Linked DNA regions of Struthio camelus. The protein of the gene in region 4 interacts with the protein of the main gene of each other region in a biochemical or structural test. Links are inferred from orthologs where the notes say so. Each region holds a gene or a part of one and is shown on either strand. Other genes may lie near its edges. The genes, in order: GPSM1, RGS19, RGS18 and GNAI3.

The links.
Region 1: the proteins of GNAI3 (region 4) and GPSM1 form a complex in vitro, tested with the Homo sapiens proteins (2 studies listed by BioGRID). The link is inferred for Struthio camelus from reciprocal best matches to the Homo sapiens genes GNAI3 and GPSM1.
Region 2: the proteins of GNAI3 (region 4) and RGS19 form a complex in vitro, tested with the Homo sapiens proteins (3 studies listed by BioGRID). The link is inferred for Struthio camelus from reciprocal best matches to the Homo sapiens genes GNAI3 and RGS19.
Region 3: the proteins of GNAI3 (region 4) and RGS18 form a complex in vitro, tested with the Homo sapiens proteins (2 studies listed by BioGRID). The link is inferred for Struthio camelus from reciprocal best matches to the Homo sapiens genes GNAI3 and RGS18.

The regions. Positions count from the first base shown.
Region 1 is NC_090961.1:3,519,878-3,527,842, forward strand, and holds the start of GPSM1 (G-protein-signaling modulator 1), read left to right. Parts: upstream 1-4,900; 5' UTR 4,901-5,038; intron 5,039-5,275; exon of another isoform or gene 5,276-5,386; intron 5,387-6,178; 5' UTR 6,179-6,346; coding exon 6,347-6,357; intron 6,358-7,965. UniProt on the Homo sapiens protein: Guanine nucleotide dissociation inhibitor (GDI) which functions as a receptor-independent activator of heterotrimeric G-protein signaling.
Region 2 is NC_090959.1:17,475,744-17,483,124, forward strand, and holds the start of RGS19 (regulator of G-protein signaling 19), read left to right. Parts: upstream 1-4,187; 5' UTR 4,188-4,202; coding exon 4,203-4,242; intron 4,243-7,381. UniProt on the Homo sapiens protein: Inhibits signal transduction by increasing the GTPase activity of G protein alpha subunits thereby driving them into their inactive GDP-bound form. Binds to G-alpha subfamily 1 members, with the order G(i)a3 > G(i)a1 > G(o)a >> G(z)a/G(i)a2.
Region 3 is NC_090949.1:10,191,736-10,198,851, reverse strand, and holds the start of RGS18 (regulator of G-protein signaling 18), read right to left. Parts: upstream 3,040-7,116; 5' UTR 2,700-3,039; coding exon 2,581-2,699; intron 1,898-2,580; coding exon 1,796-1,897; intron 1-1,795. UniProt on the Homo sapiens protein: Inhibits signal transduction by increasing the GTPase activity of G protein alpha subunits thereby driving them into their inactive GDP-bound form. Binds to G(i) alpha-1, G(i) alpha-2, G(i) alpha-3 and G(q) alpha.
Region 4 is NC_090965.1:4,178,746-4,186,914, forward strand, and holds the start of GNAI3 (guanine nucleotide-binding protein G(i) subunit alpha-3), read left to right. Parts: upstream 1-5,003; 5' UTR 5,004-5,235; coding exon 5,236-5,353; intron 5,354-8,169. Other genes in the region: GPR61 (G-protein coupled receptor 61), read left to right, coding at 2,636-3,994. UniProt on the Homo sapiens protein: Heterotrimeric guanine nucleotide-binding proteins (G proteins) function as transducers downstream of G protein-coupled receptors (GPCRs) in numerous signaling cascades.

The DNA.
Region 1 (7,965 bases), on a different chromosome or scaffold from region 4:
TTTGCAAAGAAGAAACAAAGCAAAATATCAGGAATAGAGAAACTCCTAGTATGAGTGTATTGCATACATTCAACGGAAAACGAGTCTTGAGGATAACTTCAGGCAGAGGAAGATTCAAAGAGCAGCTTTCTCTGCTAGAAAGCAGCAAGAAACAGGGAGTTCAGGTGTTGCCATAAGTCTTTATTATTATCTTTATTATCTTGTAACATGGAATCTCTCTTTTAGGAAGCCTTTCCTACTGATATGGCAAACCATTTATGTGGGTTAGATCAGCCCCCAACTTTGATTTATACGGAAACGGAACTTTCCTTGCAAGTTGGTCTATGGGACTAAGTAAAATAATTAAGAGAGAGTTTATCTGAGGTACCTGGGGTACATCTGCATTGAAGTGTGTGACCCTCACATGGTTACTCATCTGTTCCTTCCTCCAGGACTGCAAGGGTGTGGGGAGATGTCTCATGTCCTAGGGCAACACTCAGGCCAGCAGCTCCTCTTTCTTGTTCCTATGTGCAGCTCTGGTGTATCTTTCTATCTGATATGACTTTTCTATCAGAGCAGCTATCAGATTGTAAAATCCTCTTAGCGACAAGGTACAGGTTTTTGCTTGTTTGGCCAGCTGTGAGCAGTACACCTGGGCTTTAGTTTCATTAACTGCATCAAGGTAAAACGACAGTGCTTTTCTCCCTGAGATTTGAGCCTGAGTTAGCTAATCGCAGTGCAAAATCACACCAGCACTGTGGAAAGAGGGAGTTTGTTGCAAAGAGTTACAAAACTGTCCAGCACTCTAAATCTTCAAAATATTTGCTTCATTGTGTTGGAAGTCATACAATCCAGGTTAAACTAAACACTTAAAGCCTTTAAATAACCAAAAAATCCTTAGTTTAAAATAAAAAATATCCAAGTCTTTGACTATGACCATGCAGATGATAATGGAAGCTCATTATTCTCATAGCAGCTAGTGGAATTGATTCTGCGGATGCCAAAACTGTTGCTCATTTTTCAGCCATGCTATAGATCTGCTTACTTGATATCCATATCTGAAATAACCATGAGCAAGGACTAGTCGTTGCTGCCCTTTGAGAACAGCCTTGGCCTTGCTTATACCTACTGTTTCCTCATCCATAATTGCTGATTGTCTTTACATTTCTGTGGCGTTTGCAGATGTTGTCTGCTATCATTAAATTTCTCGGTGTTGTGAGAGAGTCCTGGGTTGAGACAGGGCTATGGCACAGGGGGAAATGTCCTGCTCTAGGCAATCACTACACATCTAAACAGTCAAGAAAGTCAGCTTCCTCCCATATCCCGTTCCTGCCTGGTTAACACCTTACCTTTCGTAGCCTCGTCCATGGATGGAACAAACCCTTCACTGAGGAACTGGGCAAAAGCACCTAAAGAAGCATTTAAAGAGGATCCCTGGGAGGGCTGGAGCCTTTCTAGAGAGATTAATCCCAGAAACCTCTTCCAAAGGACGAGCTGAGAAAGAACTCAGCACAGAATATCCCAGTCTCTGCTCCTTCCCTGAGCTGAGCTACCCACAGGCTCCGGTCCCTGGCTCCAGCCACGGTAAAGGTTCACCTGAGATGAGTCCCAGGTCAGCCCCTGCCCTGCCCAGGAGTGCGCCAAGGAGGAGGAGGCTGTGCCAGGGAGCCCAACCAGTGGAGCCGGCCATCAAGCATCACCACACCTTTGTTTGGGCCCCTCTGTACGGGGCAACCGTAGCGGTAGCGATAGCAATAGCGATAGTGCAGGGAGAGGCTGCTAGAAAGTGTGAAGAAAACAAACAGCAACAAGAGGAGCCTGAAGGCTGATCTCAGCTTGCAAACACGTGGCAAGGTGCCAGAAGCTTTCTTGACAAGCCCTTGCATCCCTTCCAGGGCAGCTGGCATCCTGGCAATGACCCATCTCAGGGCCAGGTGGCCACAGAGGAGAGGGAGGACAGAAGCTGCACAGTTTGGGATGGAGAGAGAACGGGGTGCTAGAGCAGGGGGAGAAACCAGACCGGCGCAAGATCTCACCCAGGGCACCTCTCCTCACCCCTTTCTCTGTAAGCTCATCCAGCCTTTGATCCTGCTGTCAGCAGCGCTGTCCTGATCAGGCCCCCAGGTTCAGGAGAGTAGGGGCTTTAATTCTGAATATTGGCTTTTAGTAAAGGAGGAAATGATCAAAAAAAAAAATAGGGTTTCTAGTCTTTATGACTGCAGAGAAAAGCTTGAGAATATGAAGTTAGTATATGCTGAAGGCTCAGAAAAGGTAGATAAAGACAACTCCACCTGTGTTGATGTGCCTTTTTTTAAATGTCACAGTGTTTGAGTATTTGAAATTTGGGGTAGCCCTTGTGGTTCTTCAGGTCCTCCTATTCTCCTGTTCTCATCCTGGCATTTCAAATGAATGGGAAGGAACAGTTTATTCAGCAAACAGCAGAGGGCAAGCTCAGCTCACAGACAGGAGACGAGGCGGTGCCTTCAGCGGCGCTCTGGCCTCAGCTGCTGCCAGTTGCCACTTGGTCGAAGACAGCCCCGAGTGGGCAGCAGCAGGAAAGCCCTTGCTGTCACAGTGGTTCACTCTCCTTTTCTATTTCATACTTGGCCTTTTCACAGAGCATCTTTCTGGCAGGCTTCACCGGATAGTGGCATCCTGGCCTGCGGCCTGCCAGCTCATGTCCCACACCCTCCCAAGATTATGGCTGCAGATGGCTAAACAACCCTTAGGGCACATCTCAGCTGGTGAATTTGCTCGGTCATGCGGGCATGCTGTCCAGGCATTGCTTTGAAAGAGTTGGTCTCTGAAGTTCTTTGCCCCCAAAGTTACTCACCCCTAATCCTTGGATCTGCAATTACAACTGAATCTACTACAATCACTGTATAATGCCAAGACTAGGCTGATCGTTTGATGCTGTTTTCTGTTCCTTGACTGGATGATCCTTAGGCATTGGCTTCCTGTGAAATTCTTCCATTTATGAATTTTAAATTTGCTTCCCATAAATATTCTCTCACATATGCCAAAGTTCTGCAGTTCCCAAGACTATGCTTGCTGTTTGCTCTGAGATTCACTGAAGGCACATGAATAGAATAAGGATAAGCAAATAGGAATAGAAACATTTCTTGCTGTCCTCCCACAGTGACCATCAATTACTGCCCTCATGGGGTGAATTTCAGCACAGACCCTGAGCTGAGGCTGCGTGTGCCTTTCTAGGTCCCACATGACTGCAAAGCAGTGCTGACTGATGTACTGTTTCACCAGCATTTTGGTTGATATTGAATTTGACTCTTGTTTCTGTTTTATGTCCTCAGTTATTTGTTCAGGCTATACAATGCTACTGATGTGCTTTAAGCAGCAATATCAGTATTGTAGGTCTTTGTTATTACTGGGAAGTACTTAGATGGTGAGGCAAGATACTGATACCACATCCTTTCATATACATGGATCCCTGCGGTCTCTAGAGAAGTTTGCTTGAAGCAGCAGACTCAGGCTGCTAATCTAATAAATATTACAGCAGTCTGCTCAGATATCTGCACTACTTCAACTTTTCAATTCTAACCGAACAAGGAGTTCCCGAGCTGTGGATCAGAGTTGCAAAGTTCCCATTTCAAGCCGGTCCAAGCCAACGTTTTGGCCTGATTAGAGGTTCCAGTGCTAAGAATGCAGAGTCTGTCCCAAAAGGGAACCACAGCTATTTAGGGTGCCTAAGTGATAAGAGCCTTAATTACAGCCCCCGGGTTCACAGGCAGCCGTTGTGCTAGGCAAGCTTGCGTACTGAAGAGAGAGGACAAAGCAGAAATGTGAAACCTCAGCAGTGGGAGGACAACTTTCAGTGAAGATGTAGCATATGGGAAACTGTAAGAGTAACAGGAAAGTCTAGGATTAGTCCCATGTCTGCTGAGTTCAGTCGATCAAGGCAGTGCCTGGAGCAGGAGTGCACGTGCCGCAGCAGGCAGTGCTCTCCATTGTGCGCAGGTGACACTTCTGAAGCCACTCGAGTCGGACCGGCATCTCTTTTGGCACCTATCTTCCTTAGCAAGCTGTCAGCTCTGACGAGAGCCAGGAGAGTGACAGATTGCCAGCATGTTATGCTGCACATCTTGGAGTGTTAGACCACAAATCTGCTGGGAGATGAGGAAGTGAAACCTATCACTGGGCCAAATCCTGCTTCTGCAGCGCATGCAGCTCCCAAGTCAGGGAGCTAAATTTGAGCTGAGGCAGCTAGGAGCAAATCCATTTAGATCTGTACATTAGAGCTGCATGAGCAAAATGAGTCAGTCATGTATGATTGTGTCCTGCGGACTCCACAGCTCCTGTCACTTGTGACTAGGACAGAATTAGGCCCAGCGTTTTCGTTCACGTGGCGTTTATGTTGCATCAGCCCTCAAACAGCAAATTTTCTCTACAGAGGTACTCAGACTATCCCCTACTGGTTTTAGCAGACTAGACAACCCCAGGCTATTGCATACCCAGTGGACGTCTTACAAAAGCCATTTTAGGGTTTTCAGTGATTTGCCGGGATTCTTGCAGCTCAGAACCGATGAAGAGAGATGCTGCTTACCCCACTGCACGGCATTATCCAAAAGAGAGCAGCGTGTGAGTCTGCTGGATCGTTAGTGGTGTGCTTACATGCACAATGATGAAGTGGGACAAAAAGCGTCCAACTCGGCTGCATTCTGCCATCCTGAGCTTCAAGGTCACTTTCTAGCGTTTCTGCAATTCAAAGATAAGTGGACTTGCTAATTGCTCAATCCTGTAGAAGGTTGTTTGGTGTCTGGAGGTTGGTTTCACACTGTTGAGGCCGCAGGGTCTCCTCCCAGTGTCTTCCGTTCCTACTATAGTGCACTGTCACGGCTTAGGAAATATTTACAGCAATAACCCACAATGCCTAGCAAAATTCAGGAAGTGTATATATATGTGAACCAAAAAAGAAATTCCTCCTAAGTCTGTGTGGTTTGAAACAGCTGCATGCCATGCAGATATAGCTTTGTGCCCTCTAGATATATTCCAGGGGTCTTGTAAACAGCAATTCTACTGTTCCTACAGCTCTGGCAGACAGGTAGGACACTCCTTACTTTTTCTTGTTAGTTGGCCCTGTGCGCCTAGCTTTGTGAAAGTGTTACAATCTCCCTTATTGAGGGGAAACATGTCCAGCTAAAAGGAAAGAAAATAATACTTGTTTGGTTTTTTTTTACAGTGTCTAACTAAGCAATTTATGTTGTGAAGCACTTTTCACAACACTTCCCAGTTAGCAAACAATCAAAGCACAAATCTAGACTTCGATCGCAAGCTGGATGTGACATGAATTTTGCAGCAAGCATATGGTGGGAAGAGGCAGCTCATTAAAATAAAGTGTACTGTTCTGAAGTCTGACAGCCAAGTACTCAGTCCTGCACCACAGACCAGGGTATTTAGGCTCTTGATTCCTATGGATTTTGGGATGTCATGGGACTGTTTGTTACCCATATACTGCTACACTTCTATATTTGGCTCTTTAGTCTCCCTGTGCCTCAGTTCCTCATCAGCAACGGGAGAAAATATCGCTTCTCTTCTCAGTGCTTTTTGACTGACCAGGCTGTTTTGCATAAAGACGCACTAAGATACAAACATAAGGAATGGATTATTTTATCCTATGGTTCAAAAGGTATTAAACTCTGCACAACCTAAGGATGAATCCGAACTTGGCTGCAGAGTTTTTGCTGGTACCACTGATCTTGCTTCTTTTTCATTTAACCCTAACAGCTCATGCAGATACCCACGTTGTTAGGAATAAGCAGATACTTTCCCCATGGTGTATGTCATATACTCAGTTAATGCACTGTACTAGGCGCTGCGCAGAGAACTGCCCAAAGGCAGAGAGCAGGCTGCTGCTCGGCTGCCCCAAGTCTAGGGAGGTATTTGCTGCAGTGAAGAGATGCTCTTCTGCAGTGATCTCAGCCAGAAACACAAGGAAATATTAAGCTTGTGTTTCCCTACTGAGGCCCTGAAATTATAAAAACAACATGTCAAGAAAGAACTAGACCTTCAGAATATCTAGATTTTATGCCGAGTGCCAAACGATGTCTAGAAAAGGGCAGAGCGTTCTCTTTATGTGCTTATATATATATATATATATATATATATATCATCCAGTTATTGGCGAAGAGAGTGTTAAGACAGGAAATAGCTATTTATGGCCTTTTTTTTTCCCTATCAATAGGAGAATATGTGAATGGAATCAGAAGCGAAGGACAGCGGAGCTGCCTGCGCTGCGCAACCGAACGTGGGAGAGCACCGAGTTTCCATGGAAACGGCCTATAGGAAACGGGGCTCTCCGGCTGTACAAAAGGATTTATAGCGCCGGCCTGGGACTAGGCAATTTAAATCAATGATCGACAGGTAAAACGGCACATTTCCTTGCACATTGTCTCCAGGCACTGCAAAACGAAAGAGGCAGGGTAGGCGGGTGGGGAGAATTGCAAGATGACAAGGTTTTCTGAGGTGTCTTAGAACCAGACCCAAAACCCGCGGAGGCTGATGCAAAGATTCTTGTGGATTTTGCTTAGGGCTGGAGCCGGCATGCAACGAGCAGGCGTGTTCCTGCAGGAGCAGGGCAGGGCAACAGTTCCCTGTGCACCAAAATGCACAAGCTATAGGCACAACGACATACCCTACCTGCACGCCACAAACTCGGAGGGGAGAGGAGAAACGTAATCTGTTCCCTGCTTGCTCAGCCCTTCAGATAGTGCAGCTCAAGCACTCTGCCTGGTTTGGTTTTTTTGGTTCTGATGCTCGGGAAGAGTTCGTCTGGCTAAGACTATCCCTAGGCAGACCAGCAGGCTTTGGGCACTCGTTGCAGAGAGACTTGTCAGAGGAGCTTTCTGAAGGGCTGCACATCTGTTACCCTTTAACTGTCACTAGGTTTCCAGCTGTCAGTGTGAATTTTTGAACAGATATGGAAAGATCAGATTTTCCAGAGCAACGAGAATCTGTTTGGGAATATCTCAGATATAACCCTGAAAAAAATCAGAGGTCCCCAAAACAGCTAGTTAAGACTATAACTGAGACAAAATGTGCCATAAGCAACAAACAGTGTTTCTGTAACAAGGGATTAAATGAGTGAGGAATGATTTATTGGCTTCAGATTCTCCCATTTATTGACATTCAGGCATAGTGATATATGGAGTGGCATGAGACAGCAACATAATTATTCGTGCAGTGCTGCCTTCATCACCATACATTACCAAGACCTGAGTGACAAAGCCACATTATCTTCTGCATCAGACACTGTGTGCCTGTCCGATCCTGCTTCCAGCTAAGGGCAATGGTTAAATATCTCTAACGTACTTGGAATCACCATGGGGCTGGTGTGTTTATTAGCTCTGCGGAACTGCGTGCACTTACGAAGGTTGCCTCCTTCATATCCAGGAATGAAACTCAGTCTCCTTACTCACCATGTATCCTGGGCTTAGTGTGGCTGGATTTAAATATGCAGTTTAATATGCATGTGGGCATATTGGTGACGTCAAACACAAGACAGGAAATTCCTTTTGAGTTGGAGAATACAGCGTCCTTGGCTGCAAAGACTTCCAGCCTCTGTACACTCTGATCCCAGGGTAAAGTCATGTTTTACCCTGCGCTCCACAGCGCTCTGTTCGAATGTTACTTTGTTCTGCTTCCAGCTTTCAACAGAGCATCAAACACAGCTATCAAGAGTGGCAAGATTTCAGTTTCTTCTTTCAGAGGGGGTTTTTTGTTCAAAACCCAAATAGTCCAATCAAAATCAAATCTCAAGAACTGGGTCCTCCTGTCCTACCTCTCTCTACTGCCGCCTTTGGGTCTTTGCCATAAAGTCCTGCCTACACAGCAAATGCTACCAGCTAGACCTTCCACTTCCCTTTTACAGAATTTCCTCTCTAAAGTGCTTTCTTTGGACCATCAGTGTCCTTCAAAAAACTTACCTTTCAGTTCTTTATCTCCACTCAGCTACTTGCAGGTCACTTATTA
Region 2 (7,381 bases), on a different chromosome or scaffold from region 4:
GGGTCATTCTCCTCCACCCAGCTGTTTGTAATTGTAGGACCTGAATTACATTGGAGAACTCTGTACTTCTGTCAGTTTTGACTAAAACTGGCCAAAGGGTTATGAAGTTTTCAGAGAGTGGAATCTAGAAGAATGTGAGTACGCTGATACACGAGATGATTGCATAAGCCCTGTTATATTAGGAAATCAAAATAACGAACCCTCTTTCCACTAAACATGATAGAATTTATAGTCGCATTGCCCCTGGTGATGCAAAAACCCTTTTTTAAACTTTGCTCTACAACCTATGGAGAGCCGCACTGCAGAACTCCAAGCTATTGCTTTATCTGGGAGTTTGAGCACAGGGGAGATGCTCTTTGCACTTCAGGTCGGCTTATTTACTGCCCCCGTGGGAAGGAGGTGGACTGATCAGATCCCTTCGTCTGTGCCTTTAATGAAAGGAAGTAGAAAGTGGAACTCAGAGCTGCTTTGAAGTGGCTGCAGAGCTCATGGAGCCAATATGTAGTTGGTTCCTGTTATTGGGGAGAAAAAGCCGAGAGGAACGCGCAGAGTGAAAATAAACGTCGACCCTACCTAGAAGGATTCTTCTTTTCAGTCAGTGTGCGAGCAATCACAGGAAGCCGTGGAGTTAGCACATGAGCTAGGGGTCTGCGTGTGAAACGGGGCACTTAGTAACCTCTGTGTGGCTCTGATATCTACTGGGAAGCTCCAGGGCCTTAAAAAAGCAAAACGGTTATAAAGGATGTCCAACTATTTCTCAAAAGGGAATAAATTGGCAGGGATCAAACTGCACAGCCCAAACCAGGTATTCTGCAAAGACACCCAGGGTGGATTTCTGCCCTGGAGAAGGAGCGGTCTCCGGGGCAGCTGTCCTGCCTGCTGCCACCGCACCACCTCGGGCAGCCTGCGTGGCCGCGCAGAAGCCCAACGTGGCCTGCGAGGCGTGCCGCAGGGCGTCCGCGGGCTGCCCTCAGCAGACAGCAGAGAGAGGATGAGCATGACCTCTACGGTCTCGGCTCCGAAAAGCACTTCCTGCAGAGTGGCAGCTCAGCAGCGCTGCTCTTGTAACTCCCGCATTGGCCGTCTTAGCGCAGGTGCTGCTGTACCTCAGAGCTCCAGGCCCAGATTCATTTTTTCGGTCGCTCCAGCCGAATTTCCCTCTGTTTGCTGAGGAGTCTTAGCAGTCCCACGTAACTGGTGAGAGCAAGAGGCCCTTCTGAAGCAATGCGTCCCTGACTAGACGCCAGGTATCCTGTCCCATTACCTGCCAGTCTCCGGGAGAGTGCACGGGCTGGAAACAGACTGGGAGAGCTCAGCCCACTCGGCTGCTCCAGCAGGGCTGATAGTTTCAGAGCGCCTTTGGAGATGGCTATTGAGCAACCGTTGACAGGCTTTCTCTCTCAGGTGGTGGTGTGCAGAGCCATAGGGAGCCACGCTGTATCTCAGTCCTGACACAGGCTGGCTCTCCTCAGATGTCCACTGAAGGATGCTTCCTGCTCCCAAGCATCCTGCCTGGAGTTATTGGAGTCCTTCTTCTTGAGAAGGAAAACAAGCTTTGCAAGTGCTTTCTTTGTGTAACACTTGTTAAAGCACACTGCTACCCATACTCTCCAAGCAGAGAGCACCTCAGCTTACTCAGCACCGTCCTAGGGGGATCTCCATCAGCACCGCTGGGCAGGAGGAGTCCATTGAAGGCACTGCTGTACCCTGTCAGGGCACACACTTTCCCTTCAGAAAGGGCTACAGGGCACCAAAAGGGTGCAACATTAGCAGATCTTAGGATCATGTCCCCACTGTCCAAATACCAGTGCTGGGCTAAGAAGCTACAGCTGCTCTCCAACATCCAGCAAAACTGCAGTCTCGATTGTCTCTCCGAGAGAGTCCGGAAATTTTTCCTTCTCCCCGCCGGGCAGTGGGTTTCGGTGGGCTGATGCCGAGCCATCGCCAACCGAGCGGAAAAGGCGAGCAGGCGGCGGGGGGCAGGGGCCGGGCCGGGCTGCGGGGCGCCCGCCGCGCTCCCGGCGGAGTCGGGCGGCACCTGCGGGCTGGCCCCGCTACTGCACCGGGCGCCGGGAGCCCGGAGCCGGGAGCCGGGAGCCCGGAGCCGGCCCGACCTCCGCGCCGCCCCGCTCCCCCAGCGCCGCGCACCGCCAGCCCCGGCGAGAGCCGCTGCCCCCCGGGGGCGGCATCGCCCGCCCTCTCGGGGAGTTAGAAACACGCTCTTGCCTTTCTGTGGGACGGAGATTGCAGAGCTTGCAGAAGAGGGAGCTGGTTGGGGTGGAAAGGGTTGGGGAAGTTTTTGCCACGTTTGTGCAAAGTCGGTGATAAGTAACAGAGAGGCTACAGGACCCTGCAAGAGCTGATTGCATGCAAGTAATCTCCACCTGAGTCATGAAACATCTCAGCTCCTCTGCCATGAGCAATTACCACTTATGACAGAAACAGCTCAAGTAAGACTGCCCCTTCCTTCCTAGGTTCCCTTTCAAAGTGCTGGGGGGGGGGGGTGGCTGGCTTTCCCAGAAGTTACTGCCAGCCCTTGGAGTGGGGGCCAGCACATCCACGCACCGAAAGTTTTCATCCACTTCTTTAGGGTGGACGGTGGGCCTGGGAGAAAAGCAGCTTTCCAAACTCAAAGCTGAATTAAAGCAGGGTTCCTGCTTATTTAACGGAGCATTTGCAATTTCTAGAAAAGATGCATTTTCTTCTCCAGGTTGTGTGTGTGTGTGTGTGTGTGTGTGTGTGTGTGTGTGTGTGTGTGTGTTTAAAAAGGAGGTATTAAGGACAAGCTGTGACATTGTGAGCGGAAGATTGCAGTCTAGTTTGGCCATTTGTTGATAACACTACTTTGCAGGCAATTTGCGAGCGGCTGCAGATTTTCTCCCCATCCACACTTCCTTTTTTAAAAGGTGACTTTTTTTCAATGAAACATTCATGGTCTTTTTAGTATCTGAAGGGATGGTAACTCAAAAGCCACAGAGAATCACCAACCAAGTGTTCATGGGGATTTATAAAAAACCCAAAACATGGAACATAAAACAGTGCTTGAGGATGTGGGAGCCTTTACAGACATTTGTGAGCTTTCAGCTAAATTACACGCTAAAGCAAAGGTGAGGGCTGGCATCCTGGTTGCGTTGTGGGGGAAGGGGACAGCCTGACATCCGCAGCATTTCACTGAAGTTGCTCTAAGAGTTGGGAAAGCTGATAGTGGAGGGACCTGAGGAAGGCCCCTGCTTCATCCACCGAGATCCTGGCGCAGAACCAGGTCCTATATGACCAAATGTTCTCTAGCTCCTGCTGGAGCGAGCTGAATGGGTAAAAAGAGGAAAATCTAGACTATTGAAAACAGCAGGTTGAAATGCGGGGAGGCGCAGGGTCTGGAACATAATCTAGCCGTGCGTAGGGGCAGAGACCTGGGGTAAGCCAGGAGGTCTGTTACTCACATGGGAGGGGAGGGTGGTCAGGTTTGGGTTTTCAGCTGAGCAGTCACAAGTAAAGGCCTCTTTTAACTGCTTTCCCCACGTCACAGAGCGCATGTCTCAGGGACTGAAGTAGAGGGTGGTTTGATCATTGTCTTTTCCAGGGAAATGGGTTTTAATGAGGTTTTGAATAATAAAGTGGGATAATTTCCCTGGCTGGCAAGATCATGAAATTTTTATGTCTCCTTTCTCTCCCAAAGTTTTATCACCCTTTATTTTTAGAGACACATAATCCCCCTTAAAAAAAAAAAAAAAAAGGCAGAGAAACTACTGATTTAGGGAAAGCCACTCCTCACCAGGGACTCTTGGGTCAGGGAAAGCAATCCTTCAAGCAGCTTCTCTCCCAGTTGTTCCTTGCCACATGTGCTGGGGACAGGCAAGGGCCCGGAGGGGGCAAGGCAGAGGAGCAGGGTCCCTCCAGCCCCTTCCCTTGGCTGAGCCTTTGCCCAGTGCCTGCACACTGGGGGCAGGTGACGTCCCCGCTCCGGCGGGAGTGTGTTGGGGCGGGAATGGTTCCCTCCCAGTGCTGGCGTAGAGGGCAGGAAGCACGGTGCCTGGGGGAGGCTGGGTGCTGGTGCAGGGCGCTGGTGGGGTGGAGGGTGCTGGTGGAGGGTGTTGCGGTAGATGCTGGGTGCAAGGAGCTGGATGCTGGTGCAGGGTGCTGGTGCCGAGTGCTGGCACCGGGTGCTGTGCATGGCGCCAGTACCGGGTGCTGATGCTGGGGGCATGTCCTGGATGCGGGTGCTGCTACTGGGCGCCGGTGCAGGTGCTGGTAGCGGGTGCGTGCACTGGGTGCTGGTGCGGGGCGGTGTGTGTGTGTGTGTTTTGACGTGAGGAAGTGCCAAAGCTGCAATTGCTTTAGGAAGTCAATCGCAGGGGCCGGGGGACGCGTGCGCAGTGCAGCCGCGCCGCTCCGCGCCGCTCCGCGCCCGCTGCCTCTGCCTCTCCCTGCGGTGCCGAGCCCGGCGGCAGCGCAGAGGCGGCGGCCGCGGGGAGCGGGCGGCGGCGGCGGAGGGCGCTGCGCGGCGGCGGCGGCGGATGCCCGGCCCGTGAGTACCCCGCGGCCCGGCCGGCGCTGCCCGCGGGATGCCGCGGCCGGGGGCCGGGCCCGCCGCCCCTCGCTCGCCCTCGCCGCTGCCTCCCCGCGGCGGGCTGCGGGCAGATCCCCGCTTCCCCCCCCCCCCCCGCACCGCATGCTCCCGCTTTGCTTGCGCCCCTCCGCATGCATGCATGCTTGCATGCTCCCCCCGCGGCGCGCAGCGAGCGCCGGGGTTGATGGGCAGCTCGGGCTGTGTGTGTGTCCGTCCGTCCGTCCGTCTGTCTATCCGTGCCCGGCTGCTGCCTGTCACCAGCCCCGTGTGCCAGGGGGGCTGCCGCCGCGCTGGGCGGGGGGGGGGGGGGGGGGGGAACCGCGATGGCTCCGCGGGGACCGGCGGGCAGGGCGAGGGACCCCCCCCCCCCCCCCCGCGGCGCGCTGCATCACCCCGGCGAGAGGGCAGGGCCCCTGCGAGGAGGAGGAGGAGGAAGGAGGAAGAGGGAGGGGGGCACCCTCCAGGCGCAGGGCTGCCTGCAGCGGGGCTTACCCGGCCCCGGGGGAGGGTGGGGGGGGGGAAGCGTGCCAGGAGGGGGTGTCCGCCGAGGCCTCGGCCAGCCCAGGGCTGCCCTGGCCCTCCTGCTCCCACAGGTGTGTGCGAGGGCAGCCCTGGAGCAGCCAGCCCCACGCCGCCTCGGCCAGGCAGGACGCCTGGGCCCCTCTGTGGCTTCCCGTCTCGCCATGTGTAGACGGGTGTCGTCCCCGGCAGCAGAGCGCGGTAGCTGCAGGGAGCCCTGACCTCGCCGGTGGGGTAGCGGCGAGCGCCGGCCCCTCGGGGAGGTTGGCTGAGGTCAGGCGGTGGCGGTGGCGGGGGGGGTCCGGTCTCTTTGTTGGGGGACGCCCAGCAGGTCACCTGGCCTCTAGCAATGGCAAGGCTGGAGGGTTGGGCAGAGGGGACCTCAGTCGGACGTGTCCCGGCCACGGCTCCCCCCGCCACCCGCCGTCCCGCTGGAAGGCAGCGTGACGGCTTCCTGTCACCCGGCACGAGCGCGGCCCGTGGGCGGCATCCCGGGGTGCCGTGCCGCCGCTTGGCGCCGCGTCCCCGCGGCCGAGGGGTGCGGAGGGCCAGGCGCGGGCCGCCGGAGGTGTTGCACGTGCGGCTCGCGCTACGGCTCTGGGCATGGCGAGGTTCCCTCGGGAAGCTCCCTGTCCCCACCGCTTCCATGAGGCTCTTCTGGCACCGGTCCGTGGCCTTATTTAAGAAACTAAACAAAAAGTGTTAAGTGAGTGGGAGGGATTTCCCCGCTGCGAGGGGAGTTCGCTCCCCTCTGGATGCGTCTCCACCATCGCCGTCGGTAGAGACGCTCGTCCCGTGTCACGCTGGACGAGCAGAGCCTGTTGTTTTTGCTGTCCTGGTGGGTGTCGTTTGCTTTGGGAAAACGGGTCGCCCCAGTGGGCACGTATTGCAGAATATCTTTCCCAGGGGACAACGCCACATCAGATTTCCCTACAAGGATTTTAGCTCCTCCGCGTCAGCCCTTCCCCACAAATGACTCAAGCCGCATGCTAATCAAAATACAGTCGTGTTCTTCAGCAATTAAACAAACTCCACCTCATAAGATTATAGTGGAGAAGCAGGGATTTAGTGACTCGAATATGTTTCAATCAGGGTCTGTGTGTCCATTTTGATGTTGTTATTTAAGAAAAAATAGGAACTGAAGGCAGGTAATCAGATAATGCTACTCGAACCCGGAGAGGGTAAGGGAGAAAAATACCTTGGCAAAGTGATTAATGCTGAGTCTGTCCTAGGTGCAGGAGCAGCCCATCTCCACCCTCTCCCTGCGCTAAGTGCATCCTCTCCTATCTGTGCTTATCTGCGGTCGTAGTCTCACTTTTAGACTGGGCTTGGGCTACAGCCTCTTGAGTTTCAACAGGGCTCATGCAAAGGGTCTGGGCAAGCTCCATGCTCCCTGCTCGTCCTCGTGGGTGTCTGTGGCATCGAGTGATCAACAGGTACACATGGCAAAACAGCCTTGGGAGGCAGCGCGTTGTTCCCACTGGGCTCCTCGCGCGTCGTCGCGCGCCCGGCCTGCTTTTGCTTTTGACCCCTCCATCCCAGAGCTGCTTGGTCTCTGCAGAGAGCGGGCTCAGACTGCCATGGCTTTTACTCTTTTTTTCCCCCCAAGCTTTTATCCTCTGGATAAATTTATTTTGGAAAATTTGCTCAAGAGGAGGTAAAATCTTTGCCGCGCTCAGTTCCTTAGCCCCCCTTGGGGGTTTGCCAAGGGAAGCGTACCCTGCGCCCTGCCTTCCCCTTCCGGCTCTCTTTGTACTTTTGGGCCACCTTCTTCCCCCGAATGCCCCGTCCCTGGGCGAGCGCCCGGCGGCGGGGCCGCTCGCGGCGCCCGGCCCGTTGCAGAGCGGGCCGCGACGCTGCGTGAACCGCGGGGGCGGGCGCCGTGTCCGGGCCGCATCGCCGGGCTCTCGGCTGCCGTGACATACGCTTCCGGGTTACCCGGAGCCCGCGGCGCTCACTGACACTTCCTATTACTCAGTTCCTTATTCATCTCTGCATATCTCTGTAGACATTTCCATTGCAAGAGATCTGCTGAGAACTGATCTAAAGGCAGTTGTTTATATACTTTATTTAACAGCTACCTTTTAATTTGAGGGAAGAAAAAATAACTGGAGGTTACCGCAAGTTGTTTTAGTCCCTCAAGTTCAGAGTACCTTGCAGGATGTTGCAACATGGTTTTTACCCATGGGGAGGACAGCATGGGGGAAGAGTTCTTGAGATCTTCTATGGCGTAAGAGGAAGACTCTGAACGCAGCGGCTCACGGGCCGTCTAGCAGCCCCATCGGTTCCTGCCGG
Region 3 (7,116 bases), on a different chromosome or scaffold from region 4:
TAAGAACAGTACAATCCCTGTTAGTTGAGCACCTGGCCGAGAGTAATGTGGTTAAAAGTAGTTGACTGAGCAAGGAAGTGGTGATGTCTGGTAGAAGAAGGAAATTATTCATTTATTGCTGTTGTATCCACCTCCCTTGAAAGTGCCTTTTTGTAGGTGATTGGAATGTATTGATGACCATGTACTTTACATGAAATGCCTAAGTTTTATCAGCCAACCAAACAAAAAATCATCGAAAGTAGAACTCATGATTGCAAGGTTGTATATTTGAGTGAACTGTAAAACTTTTGAGTTAGTTAAGCTTTCTGTCAGCAGCGACACAAGAAAGAGGGGGAAAAAAGAAAATAATGAACCTACTCTGCCCCCCAGACTGTGGGGTGGAAAGTGGTCCAGAGCATGAGTGCTTCCTGTCATTTGAATGTGTGGAATATTTGGATGTATGAGCAACAAACATAGTGTAACTATCCAGATACACAGATACAAGTGTTTAGATACCAAATTGTTGGGTTTTTTCATGGGTTCCAAAAAATGGTGCTTAAGCCTTGGTATAATTTTTACTGTATGTCCACAGTTGGTAAGGGTTTGTAGAAATAGTTACTGAAGTCTTCTGGTCAGGGTGCAGGCATCTTGGCCTCAAACACAGTAACTACTGAAACAAGTTTGATAAGTTTAACAAGAAAGCAGACTGAAACTAGAAGCACTGAATTGTTCTGAAGTGATCTGTGAGGAAAAGAAATGAACTGCAAATTTTTTAGACCTTGAAGTTGTAGTACTTTAAGCATTCCTTCTTCTCAGTCAAGCCCTACAATGGCAGCGAAGCAGGTTGGTGAGATCCTGGCTCCCCAGTGAAGTCAGGAACAAAGCTCTTACTGAGTTCAACAAAACCAAGATTTCACATTACATCTTTATAGGAAATAGTATAATGTGGAAAATATTACACAATGTTTAAATGACCTTTTTGGAGGAGGGAGGAGGGGACAAGACAGTGTTCTATCAATTATTGCAGTCACTGAGGAACTATGCATTCAGGTTTTGATGTGCAGCTGGTGTTCGTACATCACAGGATTCTTTGGAAAATTTATTTTCCAAGGAACTGTATAAATTCTTTGTAAGAAGTAATTTGTCAGGCACGTACCCAGGTTAATTCTTGTTCAAATTTGTCAATTAACTAAGAAAAATGCTGTTGGTATGAATGAAGTTTATGTATATGCATGTGTGTGCATATGTACATACTTTTTTTTTATACAGATACAAATGTATTTGAATTCAGGAATATGAAGGAAAAGTCGTGGAAAAATTCTTAACAAGTACATACTTGCCTCCATACTAATTACTATAATCAAAGTAAGTGGTACACAAAGACTATAAGAAAATGAAAATTTGGATTTGAAGTAGCTTAGAAAAATGTGGATTACGCTATCCACATTTTTCTTCCATTTTGTTTCTTCCTTCCCTTCTTTATTTTAAAGAAAAAAATGTTTGCTGGGTCAGATCATACTTCATACCACAGAAAATCTCTCTGAAAACTATATAACGACTTGAGACTCACCTATTCATTGCTATGAATCTGAGTAGCAGTCTACACCTATTAGTGTAAAAAACACGAGTGATGAGTTAACTTGATGTATACTGTTTGTATGCTTGGATTAGGTTGCTAATTTATAAGTGAAATAGATCTTAAAAGCATTATTCTCTGCCAAGCCTGAATGCGCACAGGCAAATGCAGGAAATGTTTCGAGTCACACAACCGCTTCCTGAAAGGAATCTCCAGTCTTGCAGTGTTTATAACACTCACCTTGCTGCTTTTGTCAAGTGTGTAGGTTTGCCAAGATGATCCTCTTCATGGAATTCAGATTTCTGCAGGAGAAGGCTCAGCCTATTTCTCTTCTGCTTAGCTCTACAACAAAGTTCAGGTAGCTTTTAAAGCAACATGTTGAAAGATGTTGTTCAAACATTTCCTTTGACTAGTATCTCCCTGCCTCTGCATTACAGATCATTACTTTCTACATTCAGCTATAGTAATGTTGATGTTTTTTCGCCTACATATTAATGTTCATGTTAATGCATTTCTTCCTTATACCTTAGCATGAATTTACATATGAAGCACTGGCAAAGGGTAATGGAAATCTTTTCATTTATATTTTGCATTTATTTTCACTTATCTTTTTCATTTGTTTTAAAAATGGAGGTGGGTTAAATTTCATGTTAGTGAATAAGTGCAGTCAACATCTTCTATTTTTATCTTTTTGCAAAGAAAAAGGAAGTATTGCTTCCTGTCATTTCAAAATTTTAAAAAGAAACTTCTCCCGATCTTATTTAGGCTTCAGAAAGGGATTTCTCAGAATTTCCCACTTTCTTGTTAATTATTTGATTTGTTTCGTATTCCTATTCTTAATAAATATTCCCTTGATGAATTAATATTTTATGGATACAATTCCCAGACTTGCAGTTCATGAGTGTTCACATATATCAGTCCAAAATAAAAAGAACTATGCCCTAAATTCATACCCACCAGCTATGTTAGAAGAATCCCCTATGTACACGGACCACTCAAAGTGTAAGTATGACCTTAAAACTTACCCAGGCTTGCTTGCTTTATTCGTCTCTTCTTTATTTGCTGTTTTCGTGACTTTGTAATAGGATTTATCCTTGGAAGCAGAAATGTTTAGTTGGGGAAATAAAAGAAGTGGATTCTCCATCTTCCTCTAGTAAAGCTTCCTAGTTTCAGCAAATGGTTCTTCAGCTTCCTGACAGCAGTTGCATCTAGTGTAATTGGTGCATTCAGGAAGGTTGTCGCATGCTGTATCTGGCTTGATTGCTACTCAACCAGTGGTTGAAAAGTTTCCAGAGCAGGTAGTGGAAAGAAGGAGGTTCTCCACCTTCGCTGTCACTACAGCTGCACGTAGGCAGGACTTTAAGTAGAGTTTTGTTTTCACAGTCGTCATTCAGGGAAGTGAGATTACAACTTTGCAAAATGGCCGTTGATCATGCACATAAACATGGCTGTAAGCGGAGAACAGCTCCTGGTTGTGTGTGTGCGGAACTTGATGGTTTGCTAGACTTCGGATGACGCTATCATTTTCTCCCAAGCGCTTAGGGGAAGTGAATAGAGTGTCTCTAAAATGAGCTCTAAAAGAGAATCATTTTGTACAAATTAATGTGTAGCGTTGCCTTAAGCCCTTAGAATAACTTTTAATTGACTTTAAACTGCCCTCTGCAGTCTCTGTTGCTAAATGCTGGACATAGAAATCAGTTTTAGCTACAACATGCTAACTTGACACTCAGAGTCTGAGTCTCTCACAAGAGCCGGATGAAGCTGTGTTTGATCAGATATTTTGTAAATAGAGATTTTAATTTTTGCACTGTTTTTCAGAAGTGATGAGTACCTACTTCTGATTTTGAGTTTGTTCACGTATCAAGGAATGGTTTGCAATACTGAACAGTGTATTTATTCACTTTTTGTTCAACCCTAGGGCATTGTTGAGTACTGCAGTTTTGAAAGTGAGTTTCTTCTGTGAGTTCACATCCATCAGGCATTAGATAGGAAAGTCATTGATTGTGTATCAGCACCAAGGTCATTGTTTATTAACCCAGTTTGATTACTTAACAATCTGATCTAGAGCTGAACAAAGATGTTTGAGAATGAAAGGTGGAGAGAAGATATGACCGCAACATCTTACAATGACTTTGACTGGCTCTGCCCACTGGTAAGTTCTGATGAGAGTCCCACCAAGGCCTTTCCTCGTGCCTGGGGAGTTGAGGAGAGGAAGTACTAACAGACAGAAGAAAGAAAAAACTCTTCTAGGACTCTGAATTCCCGAAATGGAACAAAGAAAAAACCTTATTTTTTGTTTAAGAACGAGAAAAGAAAGAGAGAGCACTTAGTTACTACATCTGTAACAAATTTCAAAATCAGACTGAATAAGAAATATTCCGTTGCAAAACTGCCTTCTGTAGCCCCAAAATCTCTGAGAGACAGCGTTATACATTTCATTTTCAGTTTCAGAATACGCCTATAGATCATATCCTAGTAATTGTGAACTGGGTTTAACCACAGAGCTGTCTTTAATAATGTGTTCTATCTTTTACCAATAAGTAAACAAAATTAGAAAACATCTTTTTATTTGACTTTTCTGCAAGTCATATGAACTTTTGTTGGCCTATTGATGTGTATATAATACTATCTCTGTGTTGATCTGTCATAATTTTATTATCTGGTGATTTCAGTTCCTGAAAAATATTGTCAGTTGTGGCCTTAATACTTCATATAAGCTGATTTAAGAATGATTTGTAGCATGGCACTCCATTCATAACTGAATTACTTTCTGGTGGCCTTGCCACTATATCACGTGAGGCACAGATGGAAATGACCCATTATGTCACCTGTTCCAATGTCAAGCCTGTGATGGGTTCTTCTCAGCATATGCTGGAATGGCTTGTCCAATCCATTTTTAAATGACTGTAAAGCAATGGGTGTTGTGTCTTAAATGCCTGAAGTTTTGCTGTAATATTCTCTGATGATAATATCTATTCTGAATGCAGTAATGTAATGTGCATCTCTTGGGAATTTATTTGAAACTCTTGAAAGGAAATATAGAATAATTGCAAGCACTCTTTTTTTTTTTTTCCATTAGTAGAAAGCTAATATTAAATCCAGGCCCATGAAGCAGGCAAATAGCATCAGAGTAAGGCTGTATCTTGTCAATGACGGTGCTGGTGCTAAAAAGCATTTCTATTTTCCACCATAGGCCTCAGTCTGCTGAACTGTATTCACAGACCTCCTAGAAGGTTTTTAATGATTTAAAAACCCTTAAATCAAGGTCATCTATGCAAAGTCAAAGAAATATTGAGATAGTGATTTATTACTTGTAGAAAAGAATAAATACATTTTTCAAGAGCTTTCATACATCGATGAATAGAATGTGTGTTTTCAAAGCATTCTTTATTTCATTAGAAAGCAAGACTGAACAGATCATAAAGTACTAGAAGTTCTTTGCAGTGAGGTCCTGGTCTCTTCAGGCCTATTCGTCAGTTGTAAAGTTTCTGCACTGACTTCCATTGGTATTAGATAGGGATCTGTTACAGTTAATAGCAAAATCATGTTTGACTTCTCTAGGACCAGTAATTGCCCTCTGTGAAAGAAAAATCGACGTTAGCAATAAGGATGTTGCGTTATACTCTGCATAGGTTATAATAGTGCTTTGTTAAAGGTAAGCACTGTAGGATTGAGAATTTCAATTCAGTTGAACACAAGTGAAGCCTTGATTGAGTGATTCATTTCAGCACTAAGAATTAGAGTGCAATCAGGTCTCCTTTGCTAGCAATCCCTCTGCATCTTTCGCAAAATTATTTTTGTTGCTTGCTAGCAAATTGTTAACCTTTCCTCTTTTACACCTGTGCTCATGTCCTATCAATATCTAGGCTTTTCCACAATGGAGTTCTGCCACTGTTTTCATTCAAATCCGTTTTTACCCACTTTTACCCTAAGTTGTAGGGTTATGCTGTTTTATTTTCTGCTAAGGGAAGCACTATTCACCTTCGTGTCAAGAGAAAAACAACATAGCATGATCTCTTCATCGTCTTGTGAAGAATAAGCATGGAAAGAAACTTCTGAAGAGCATAAGATGAAAGTGAGTATTCCCATATTTTTCTTTTTCCTGCAATGGGAGCTGACATGTTTTGAAAGAATTTGGTTTGGAAAAATAGCTCTGCTGCTCTTCAGAAACATCTCAACAATTTATCAGTTTCATCAATATTTATGTTGTTTACCCATTACTGCAAACCATAATTGGACCTACCATTTCATAATGGTATAATCCAACATACAGTTGTTTTATTTATCTGCCAAAAAAACCCCATTTTTGCTTCATGGAAAAATACCAAGATGAAAATAATTTTATTATAAATCTCAAGTAGAGATGCTTGCAGTCTGCTAATTCCATGATTTTCTTTAGTGGTGCACTTAAGAGGTTCATCGTAATGGAGGAACTTGGCATGTGGGATACTTCAATGTTAGTGGAAGAGAAGCATTGTAATACCTCCACACTGTTCGTGTTACAGAACTTCCTTTGATGGCTACTGTTTAAAAGGAAGGAAACAAAATTGCTTGCTTCAGATATGCATCACTGAAAACAGCCAGTAATGCTTTTCGTTTAGGGTCCATGGGTCCTCTCAGCTAGGGATCTCAAAAGGGTTTTGTAAGACCTCCACAGTGAAAACTCATGCTTTGTATCTGTCATGTAGCCTTATGTCTTTTTGACACTCAGGTTCTGTTTCTGGACAAGCTAGTGAATGTTATTTTGGGCAAGCCTAGCTTATTTTGAGATTAAAAGGTTACATTATCACAATTCTGTTGATTTCAGTAGGACTCCTTAAATACCACATTTTAGTCCACCGTAAATAAGGATTTCGTTGCTTTTCTGTTTTCCTCTGGAAAGAAGTTCAATTGCCAATAGACTGGAATAAGCTATATTAATTCAAATGAAATACCAGTCTCTGACTAGGTATGTATGACATATCTAGAAATGAAATAGGCAGGTTATGGGTAAGCATGGAAAGGAAGACCTTTCCACTGCTTTATCCACTGGAGCACAGTAGCTCCGTTAGTGATGGTCTTGCAGGGATTTCTGTTTTTTCCGGGTTTAAGGTGCAGTGGGCTTCAAACGCTAGCTTTTTCTGAAATGGCGCTCTTGAACAAAGGCTTTAAGAGTTGTTGAACTCTTAAACTATTTACCTAAGTTTATCAGCTTTCATGATCTGTGTAAATCACTTTTGACCTATAGTTGCAGCTGATGTGGTCTGCTAAATTGCTTGTATTTCAAACAGAAGTTTTAACTGTCCCTTGAAAATTCCTTGGGAATCTTAAGCTTTTGCACAACTTTTGCTATGGAAAAACACTTACTTGTGTGCTAAACTAAATTCATTTATTCAGTCTTTTGAAAGGTCAAAATAAGAAAGTGAGTCTGCAAAGTTCTCAGCTGTATTCATTTCCTGCCTGCTCCATGGTCATATGGCCTGCGTCTCTGATTAACTGTATTTATGTATTATATACATCACTGTCATAATTAATCTACAGGAAGCTGGTTTCTCAGTTGAACCACTCTCGATGTTTACAAC
Region 4 (8,169 bases):
GGTATGAATGCAGATTAGGGTACGCACCCCGGCTGTGTGCACCTGGGTTAGGGGGTGCACCAAGGTTAGCAGGACAAGAGGGTCCCGGCTGCTCGGAGAGGACTCAATGCCTGTGTTTCACCATGGCCGTGTTTGGCACCGGGGGACCACAGGGCGCAGGAGACGGGCCCAGGGCAGGCGAGGGGGGATGCGGGGCTGGAGGAGGTCCGGAGGCTGCCGGCATTCCCGCACGCCCCGAGCGCCTCGTGCCAGGCCGGGGACCCGAGCGGCACGTGCTGGGCAGCTGCCGGCAGCGGCTCCCCTCCCCGGTGCGCCGGACCCGGTTCATCCGAGGTCCCTGCGTTTCTAATCTCGTTCGGAAGGATTTATTTTTGGGTCCTCGTAACCTAGCAATAGGGCACGTGACGCACGGGGCCTGCAGCATGAATATGCATCGCCCGCCTCGCCGGCCGGCCGGCTCGCCACCCCTCCGCGCCGCCGGCCCGCTCGGCTGGGGACCCGCTCGGCTGGCGCTCGAGCCTGGGCCCCCGCAGAGCCAGGCCTGCGCCCAGGGCACTGCCAGGAGGAAGTCTGCAGCCTGCGCAGGCTTTGGGGGGGCTTGAGAAGTGATGGAAACCCCCTTGCAAGCAAACAGTTGGGCACGTAGGGAAACTGAGGCACGGTGCATGGCAGGGGATGCTCTGCCCTGGTCCCCGTTGCTCCGTTGGTGCACTGGGGGGAGAGGGAAGGGACGCTGGGCTGGGTCCGGGCAGAGCTGGGTGCCCCCGCCACCCGCCAGGCACAGCCCTCCCGGCCCCGTTCGCCTCGGGCAGCCCCCTGCGGCCGGCTCCGCGCCCCGCGCGGGCCGCGCTGCCCCCGCTCCCCGCCGCCGGCTGGGCGCTCCCCTCGCCCGTCACCCTCCCCTCGCCCCGGCCCCCTTGCGCTGCCCGGGCACGTTCCCTCTGCCGGTTCCCCGGGTCCCAGCACCCGCTCGGGGGGGCCTCAACACCCGCCGCAGCCCCCAGGCAGCTCGCTGCCAGCCGGGGCGCGGGCTGGGGAAACTGAGGCCCGACACGAGGGCCGAGGCGGTTTGCGAGGGGCGTCCCGGGGGCAAAGCGGGGGGTCGGTGACGTGCCGGGCTCCGTCTCTGCGGACGGGGCCAGCGGCGGGGTGGTGGGGCGGCCCCGGGCGCCGACCCCCGCTCCGCCCCCCCCCCCCAGCACGCCGGCCCGGCCCGGGGCCGCGCTTTGCCCCCCGGGGCCGGGCCGGGCCGCCGGCGGGAGGCGTTTAGGACCCAGCAGCGCGGCTGGTGCGGGAGCTGCCGGCTCCGCTCATCGCCGGCTGCGGCGGCTGCGGGCCCCGGCCCCGGCCCAGCCCCGAGCATCCCCGCCCGGCACCGGGGCGCCGAGCCGGCCGCCGGGGCCCGCCGACCCCCATGGAGCCCCCCCCCCAGGGTAGGTGCCCGCCCCGCCGCCGCTACCGGCGGGGGCTGCGGCGGGCGACGGGGCGCCCCCCGGGGCGGAAGCGGCGCGGGGCCGCCCGCTCGCCCCTCACCGTCGCCCCGGGCCTGCTGCGGTGGGGGGGGGGAGGGAGGAGGGAGGAAGGCCGCAGCCCCGGCACCGGGAGGGGGGGGGGATGCAGGGGGAATGGTGCATAGGGGCTCGGGGGAGAGGGTGGGAGGGTGCCCGGTGCCCCCCCACCCACCCCGACGAGCCTGCCCCGGCCGCCCCCGGGGGGATGCCGGTGCCCGGGGGCCACCGGGTATCGGCGGGACCGGCCGCGGCCTGCCAAAACGGGGCAGGGCCCCGGGGGCTCCCCGTGCTGCCCCCACACCCCGGCCCCGCGCTGGGGTAGCACCCTTGGGTGGGGAAGGGAGGGTGACACCCCCATTGCAGCGGGTGCCCACCCCCCCCATCGCCGGGCACCCCGCCGCGCTGGCTGCCACCCCCCCCCCCAGGGATTTGGGGTGAGGGGTGCACGGCACCCATCCCGGGACGTGTTCGGGGTGGGGGGATAAGGGGTGAGCCCAGGCGTCCGGGCCCAGGGAGGGACTGGGACCGCGCTGTCCCAGGCTGGTCCCAGCCGCGCCATCGGCAGTCCCCGGGCTCCAGGTGTCAGGTGAGGCTGTTTTGGGCTGAAACATCGGAGTTTGGGGTTTTAAGCCCCGGGGTTGCTCGTTTCCTAAGGAAATGAGACATTTTGTTGAGAAAGGAGTTTTCTCAGCCCAGGGCAGCCCCGCGTGGGGCCCGGCGGCTCTCCCCGCCGGGGGGGACCCAGGCACGCCCCGGGGCGCCAGCGGCCGCCGTCGGGGGCTGAGCCGAGACGCCGACGCGCGGGGGCCTCTGATCCGGCCGCCTCTCTGCCTTCCCCCGCAGGTGCTCCGCTCTGCCCGGCGCAGAGCAGCCGGGAGATGAGCCCGCCCGGGGGGAACCCTTGGGTGCGCTGAGCGCCGCCGCCTCCGCAGCACCCGTCCCGCGCCCGGCGGAGCGGGGCCGGGCGATGGCCAGCAGCACCCGGGGCCGCCGGCCGGCGTAGGGCTGGGCCGGGGTCCGGCCGGCGAGGATGTGAGCGCCGGGGGCGACGCTCTGCGGCCCCTCGCGGGGGGCCCGTAGGATGGGCGATGGGCCGGTGAGGGCCGGCGCCACCGCGGGACACCATGGAGCCCTCCCTGCCTGCGCCGTGGGCCTGGAACGGCTCTAGGCCGGCGCGGCCGCTCCAGCCCTCGCCGGGCCCCATGCCCGCCAACGGCACGGCCGACGCCAAGCCCAAGGACGTGGCTTCCAAGTCGGTGGGGCTCTTCTTCATGCTGCTCATCGACCTGACGGCCATCGTGGGCAACGCGGCCGTCATGACCGTCATCGTGAAGACGCCGGCGCTGCGCAAGTTCGTCTTCGTCTTCCACCTCTGCCTGGTGGACTTCCTGGCCGCCCTCACCCTCATGCCCCTGGAGATGCTCTCCGGCTCGGCCGTCTTCGACAGCCCCGTTTTTGGCGAGGCCATGTGCCGCGTCTACCTGTTCCTCAGCGTCTGCTTCATCAGCATGTGCATCCTCTCCATCTCCACCATCAACGTGGAGCGCTACTACTACGTGGTGCACCCCATGCGCTACGAGGTGAAGATGACGGTGGGGCTGGTGGCCTGCGTGCTGGTGGGCGTCTGGCTCAAGGCGGTGGCCACCTCCCTGGTCCCCGTGCTGGGCTGGCTCTCGCCGGACCGGCCGCCGGCCCCCGCCGGCCGCGGGTGCTCGCTGCAGTGGAGCCGCGGGCCTTACTGCAAGTTCTTCGTGGTCTTCTTCGCCGCCTTCTACTTCCTCCTGCCCCTCCTCATCATCGTCGTGGTCTACTGCAGCATGTTCAAGGTGGCGCGGGTGGCCGCCATGCACCACGGCCCCCTGCCCACCTGGATGGAGACGCCGCGGCGGCGCTCGGAGTCGCTCAGCAGCCGCTCCACCATGGTGACCAGCTCAGGGGCGCCGCGCACCACGCCGCAGAGGACGTTCGGCGGCGGCAAGGCGGCCGCCATCCTGCTGGCCGTGGGGGGCCAGTTCCTCTTCTGCTGGCTGCCCTACTTCTCCTTCCACCTCTACACGGCCCTGAGCCCCCAGCCGCCGGCGGGGCGGCAGGCCGAGACCGTGGTCACTTGGCTCGGCTACTTCTGCTTTACCTCCAACCCTTTCTTCTACGGGTGCCTCAACCGGCAGATCCGGGGCGAGCTCGGCCGGCTCCTCACCTGCTTCTTCAAGCAGCCGCCGGAGGACGACCTGCGGCTGCCCAGCCGCGAGGGCTCCATCGAGGAGAACTTCCTGCAGTTCCTCCAGGGCACGGGCTGCCCCGCCGAGCCCCGGCCCCGGCCCGCCACCCCCAGCCCCAAGCGGGACCAACCCCCCGTCGACTTCCGCATCCCGGGGCAGATCGCCGAGGAGGCGGCCGAGCTCCCGGAGCAGCGCCGGGGCGGCGGCGGCGGCGGCGGCGATGGCTACGTGCCGGCGGCCACCTCTCCCAAACGGGAGCTGTAGCGTCCCCGGGGGGGTCAAACACGGCTGCAAGAGGAAAGCTGGTGTGCGTGCCTGGCTGGGGCGCCTGGGGACGCGGCCGCCGCGGGGCTGGGGACCTGCCGGGGCTGTCCCCGCCGCCCGCACCCTCCTCGCCGGGGTTGTGCTTTGCTCCCCAGCCGTGGGGGCCGGAGCCGGGACGTGTCACCCCCCCCCCCCCACTCGGGTCCCCACCGGGGAGGCAGCTTCGGGGTCACAAAGCAGGGAGGAGCTGTTTTGGAGCGTGGCGGGGCCTCGGTTTTAGGGGGTCAGGCGGTCCTGACCGGGAGCGTCTCAGCAGGGTCGGCGGGAGGGGGTCCCCCAAAAGTCCTGCTGGCCCCGTCCGGCCCCGGCACCCTGCCCGGGCGGGCGCAGCCAGGGGACGGGGCGTCCGCCGCCTCCCGGGTGCCCCCGGGCCGGGCTCCCCTCCTGCCCTGGGGCCAGCTGCCCCCGTGGTGGGTGCCCGTCCCCCGGCTGATCTCCGGGGGCCGCCCCTCGCTTTCGGTCCCCGCGTCCGCCCTTGGGGCCTCCCGGGCTCGCTTGCCCCCCAGCGCCCCGTGGGGCTGGGCCGGGTCGAGGCAGGAGCAGCCCCCCGTGGTGGCGGGTGCCCTCGAGCGTGGGGCAGCTGGGGGGGAGCGAGGGAAACACCCCGGGCAGGGGGCTGCCACGGGCCGTGGGGCTGGGCCTGGGCAGGGCCGGGGCAGCTGTGGGGCTGGCGCAGCTATGGGGCCGTGCAGAGAACCCCCTCCCCTCCCGCAGGGCCTCCCTCAGGACTACAACTCCCGTCACGCCCCGCTCCACCGAGGCGGAAGTGAGGCGCCCACCCTCCCCCGGCTCCCATCACGCCCCGCTCCACCGAGGCGGAAGTGAGGCGCCCACCCTCCCCCGGCTCCCATCACGCCCCGCTCCACCGAGGCGGAAGTGAGGCGGGGCAGCCTCCAACTCCCCGCATGCAGCGCGTGGACTACCAGTCCCAGCGTGCCCCGCGCCCCGCGCGGCGGCGGACTGCATTTCCCGGCGTGCCCCGCGGCGGGCGCCCGCGCCCGCGCGGCGCCGCCCCGGGGCGGTTGGCGGGCGGGTAACGGTCGCGGCGGGGCGGATATCCGGCGCCGCCTCACGGAGCCGCCCGCGCTGAGGGGAAGCGAGAAGGCGCAGCCCCGCACCGGCTCGGCTCGGCTCCGTCTGCCCCGCTCCGGCTCCCCGGCGGCGGGCCGCCCTCCGCCGCCATGGGCTGCACGCTGAGCGCCGAGGACAAGGCGGCGGTGGAGCGGAGCAAGATGATCGACCGCAACCTGCGGGAGGACGGCGAGAAGGCGGCCAAGGAGGTGAAGCTGCTGCTGCTCGGTGAGGAGGGGCCGGGCGGGGGTAAAGGGGCTCTGGGGAGGGGAGAGGGCTGGGGGGGGGTCTTGAGACGGACTGAGGGGCTCCGGGGGGGGCTTGGGGGACTCTGTAGTGCCGGGGGGGGGAGGTGTTCCAAGGAGCCTCTAAAGGGGGGGCTTAAGGGAGCTTTAGGGAGCGTTTTGAGGGGGACTGGGGGCTCGGAAGGGGCTTGAGGGGCTAAGGAGTCTCAGGAGAGGAGGCTTGAGGGAGACCTCCAGAGTCCGGGAGGGGGTTGAGAAGGCTAAGGGAGCTCGAGGGAAGGCCTGGAGAAGCGTTGGGACGGCTGAGGGCTTTGGGAGAGGACTCCGGGGCTTGGAGAGGGTGAAGGAGTCCCTGGGAAGGGGATTTGGGGCTTTCCAAGGGCTCCAGAGGGTTTTAGGGGGTCTTTGAGGGGAGGAGCCAGGTGGTGAGGGCAGGACTATCTGGAAGGGATTGAGAAGGGGTTTGGGGGAGGCTAAAAGGTCTCTAGAGGGTGAGTGGTGGGGAGAGGGGTGTCTGGAGGGATGGTGAGGTGACTGTGGGGTGAGCAGGGATCGAGGAAGCTGTTGGGGTGTGTATGTGTGAGGGATTACCCAGAGGGATGTTGAGGGAAGAGGGGTGAAAGTGTTAGCAAGACAAAGAAGTTCAGGGGTTTGAAAGGGGGAGAGGCTGGGATGAGGTAGGGTTCCTGTAGGAAAGCTAAGGGAGTTGTGGGAAGGGCTCTGAGGTGAGTCTGGGAAAAGGCCGTTTTGAGGGACAGCTCTGCCTTTGTGACACTGGGGAGGGTTTGGCGCTTAGTGTGGTTGCCAGCCTCGGGCATGGGCCTGACCCCTCGCTCCACCCTGGTCCTCCATCCCTTTCCCGGGGTTGTTACCTGCTTGGTGGGGCTGCTGGAAGACCATAGCCTGCCCCGCTCCCTTAGGATTGCCACCCAGCTCTGAGGAGGGAGGAGATGGCCTGTCCCACTCTCACCCACGGCAGGAGCACGCTGCTCTCTAGCACGCTGTCCCAGGGTGGGGCTTTTTACTAGCCAGACTCTGCCTGATGAAGTAACACTTCTGTCTGTAGTGTGGGTCTGAACCTTACCAGTCTTCCTTCCTGGTTGCTTCTGGGTGATGTCTGTCTCTGGTGGCTTTGGTCTTGGGCTCTGGGAGCAGAAAGCGTTAGCTCCGCTGTCTCGTTGTTCCTTCATCTTTGGGTATCCTGTGCTTGCGTGACAAAGATCACTGTAAAACCTCTTGCTTGTGGCTGAATACTGACAATATACAGTCTGTAGTCATGCAGGCATGCTCGTTCAGCTTTTTGCTTCAGATAGGGTAATGGAATTAAATCCTTTTATCTGGTAGTTAGCTTTTACCCTGAAAATGGCTCTTTGGACGCCTGTTTCTCAGATCAGAAATGCCCGCTCTGTGTAAGCTGTCTTTGCTAATCATGCTACGTTTTTTGTGCCTCATGCTACCACAGTAAAGATCCTGTGATAGGATCTGACTTTGCGCAAAAGATGAGATGTGAATCCACCTTACTCTTCCATAGCTGAACTTGTTCTGCAGAGCTTGCAGGAGCGCAAAAAAGCAAAAGTGTTGTTGTTGCTGCTACCTCAGTGCAATCTCTATATGTACAGAAAACGGAGCAGCTGAGAAAGGAAGTGTCAATTCTGTGCACTTTTATTTTTTCCAGCTAAAAGGCATTCATGAATCTTTGAGAGGATCTAAATGGAATAAAATGTTTAGTGGAGAACTATCTTCTTATTATACTTCCCTGAGTGGATAAATATTTAAGGATTGCAAATAACTTGCCATATTTGGTCTATGTTCTAGTAACCATGTTTAGAAGCCCTTGTTGAGTGATAAGTAGGGTACAGAGAAGGAAAAGATGCCCTTCTCTGATGAAGCCTGCTAGATATAGGCAGACTCCTGTTCCATTTCTTTGCAACTTCAAATGAGCTAAGGAATAAGCAGTGCAAATTTAGGGTTGTAGGTGGACCCATCTGGTCATGTCATGTAGGTCGTCGTCTTCTAATGTCCATATGTTTTTTTGTTACTTTGACATTCTCCATTTCAGATGGAGACAGATTGAGTTCATGAAGACTAGAACAATGACATTTAGTTCTCCTGTTAGACTGGGACACGTTGGCTAACAAGTCTGCTTTCCAAATGATCTGAATCTCAAGAATCCTTTTTTAAAACTTGTTTTTACTTGTATCCTTGTAAGAGGTGCGGCTTGATGTTCTTTGTGGCCGTATTGAAAAGCATTTTGGAGCTAAACTGCATGACCTCCTCTTCAGCAAATGACAGAGTTGAAGGAGTACCCAAAAGATTATGCAATAATCGGTTTCAAAGCATATTAATGTAGACACAAGGTGAGACTTTCAAAAGTACAAGTAGCAGCTGTATTTTGGATCACTTCTCTCTCTGATCTGTCTCTAGCCTCATTTAAAAAATAGTGCGCTCGTATCAGGTTTGCACTTGGCCATAACCTGCAATAACTTAAAATGTCAAGGTTTTCTAGTGTTAAAAATTAGCGTAACAATTGCTAGTGATTAGAGGGAATACCGGATTGTGCCAAAATGTACTCTCCTCATATGCAGCTTGTTAATGTGCGGGTGAAGCAAGATAGTTAATTGCTAGGAGAAAATATTTGCAGTAGGAACATGGGTCCTTTCAGTGAGACATCAAGAAGCTGATGGAAAAGTTCATGAGTTTTTCCATGGTTTGAGCAAGCACTTTTTCTTTGGAACACATTAAAATGTCCAGGATAAGATATAGTAATAACTTATCATTGTTGTAAGAGATCATGTGGTA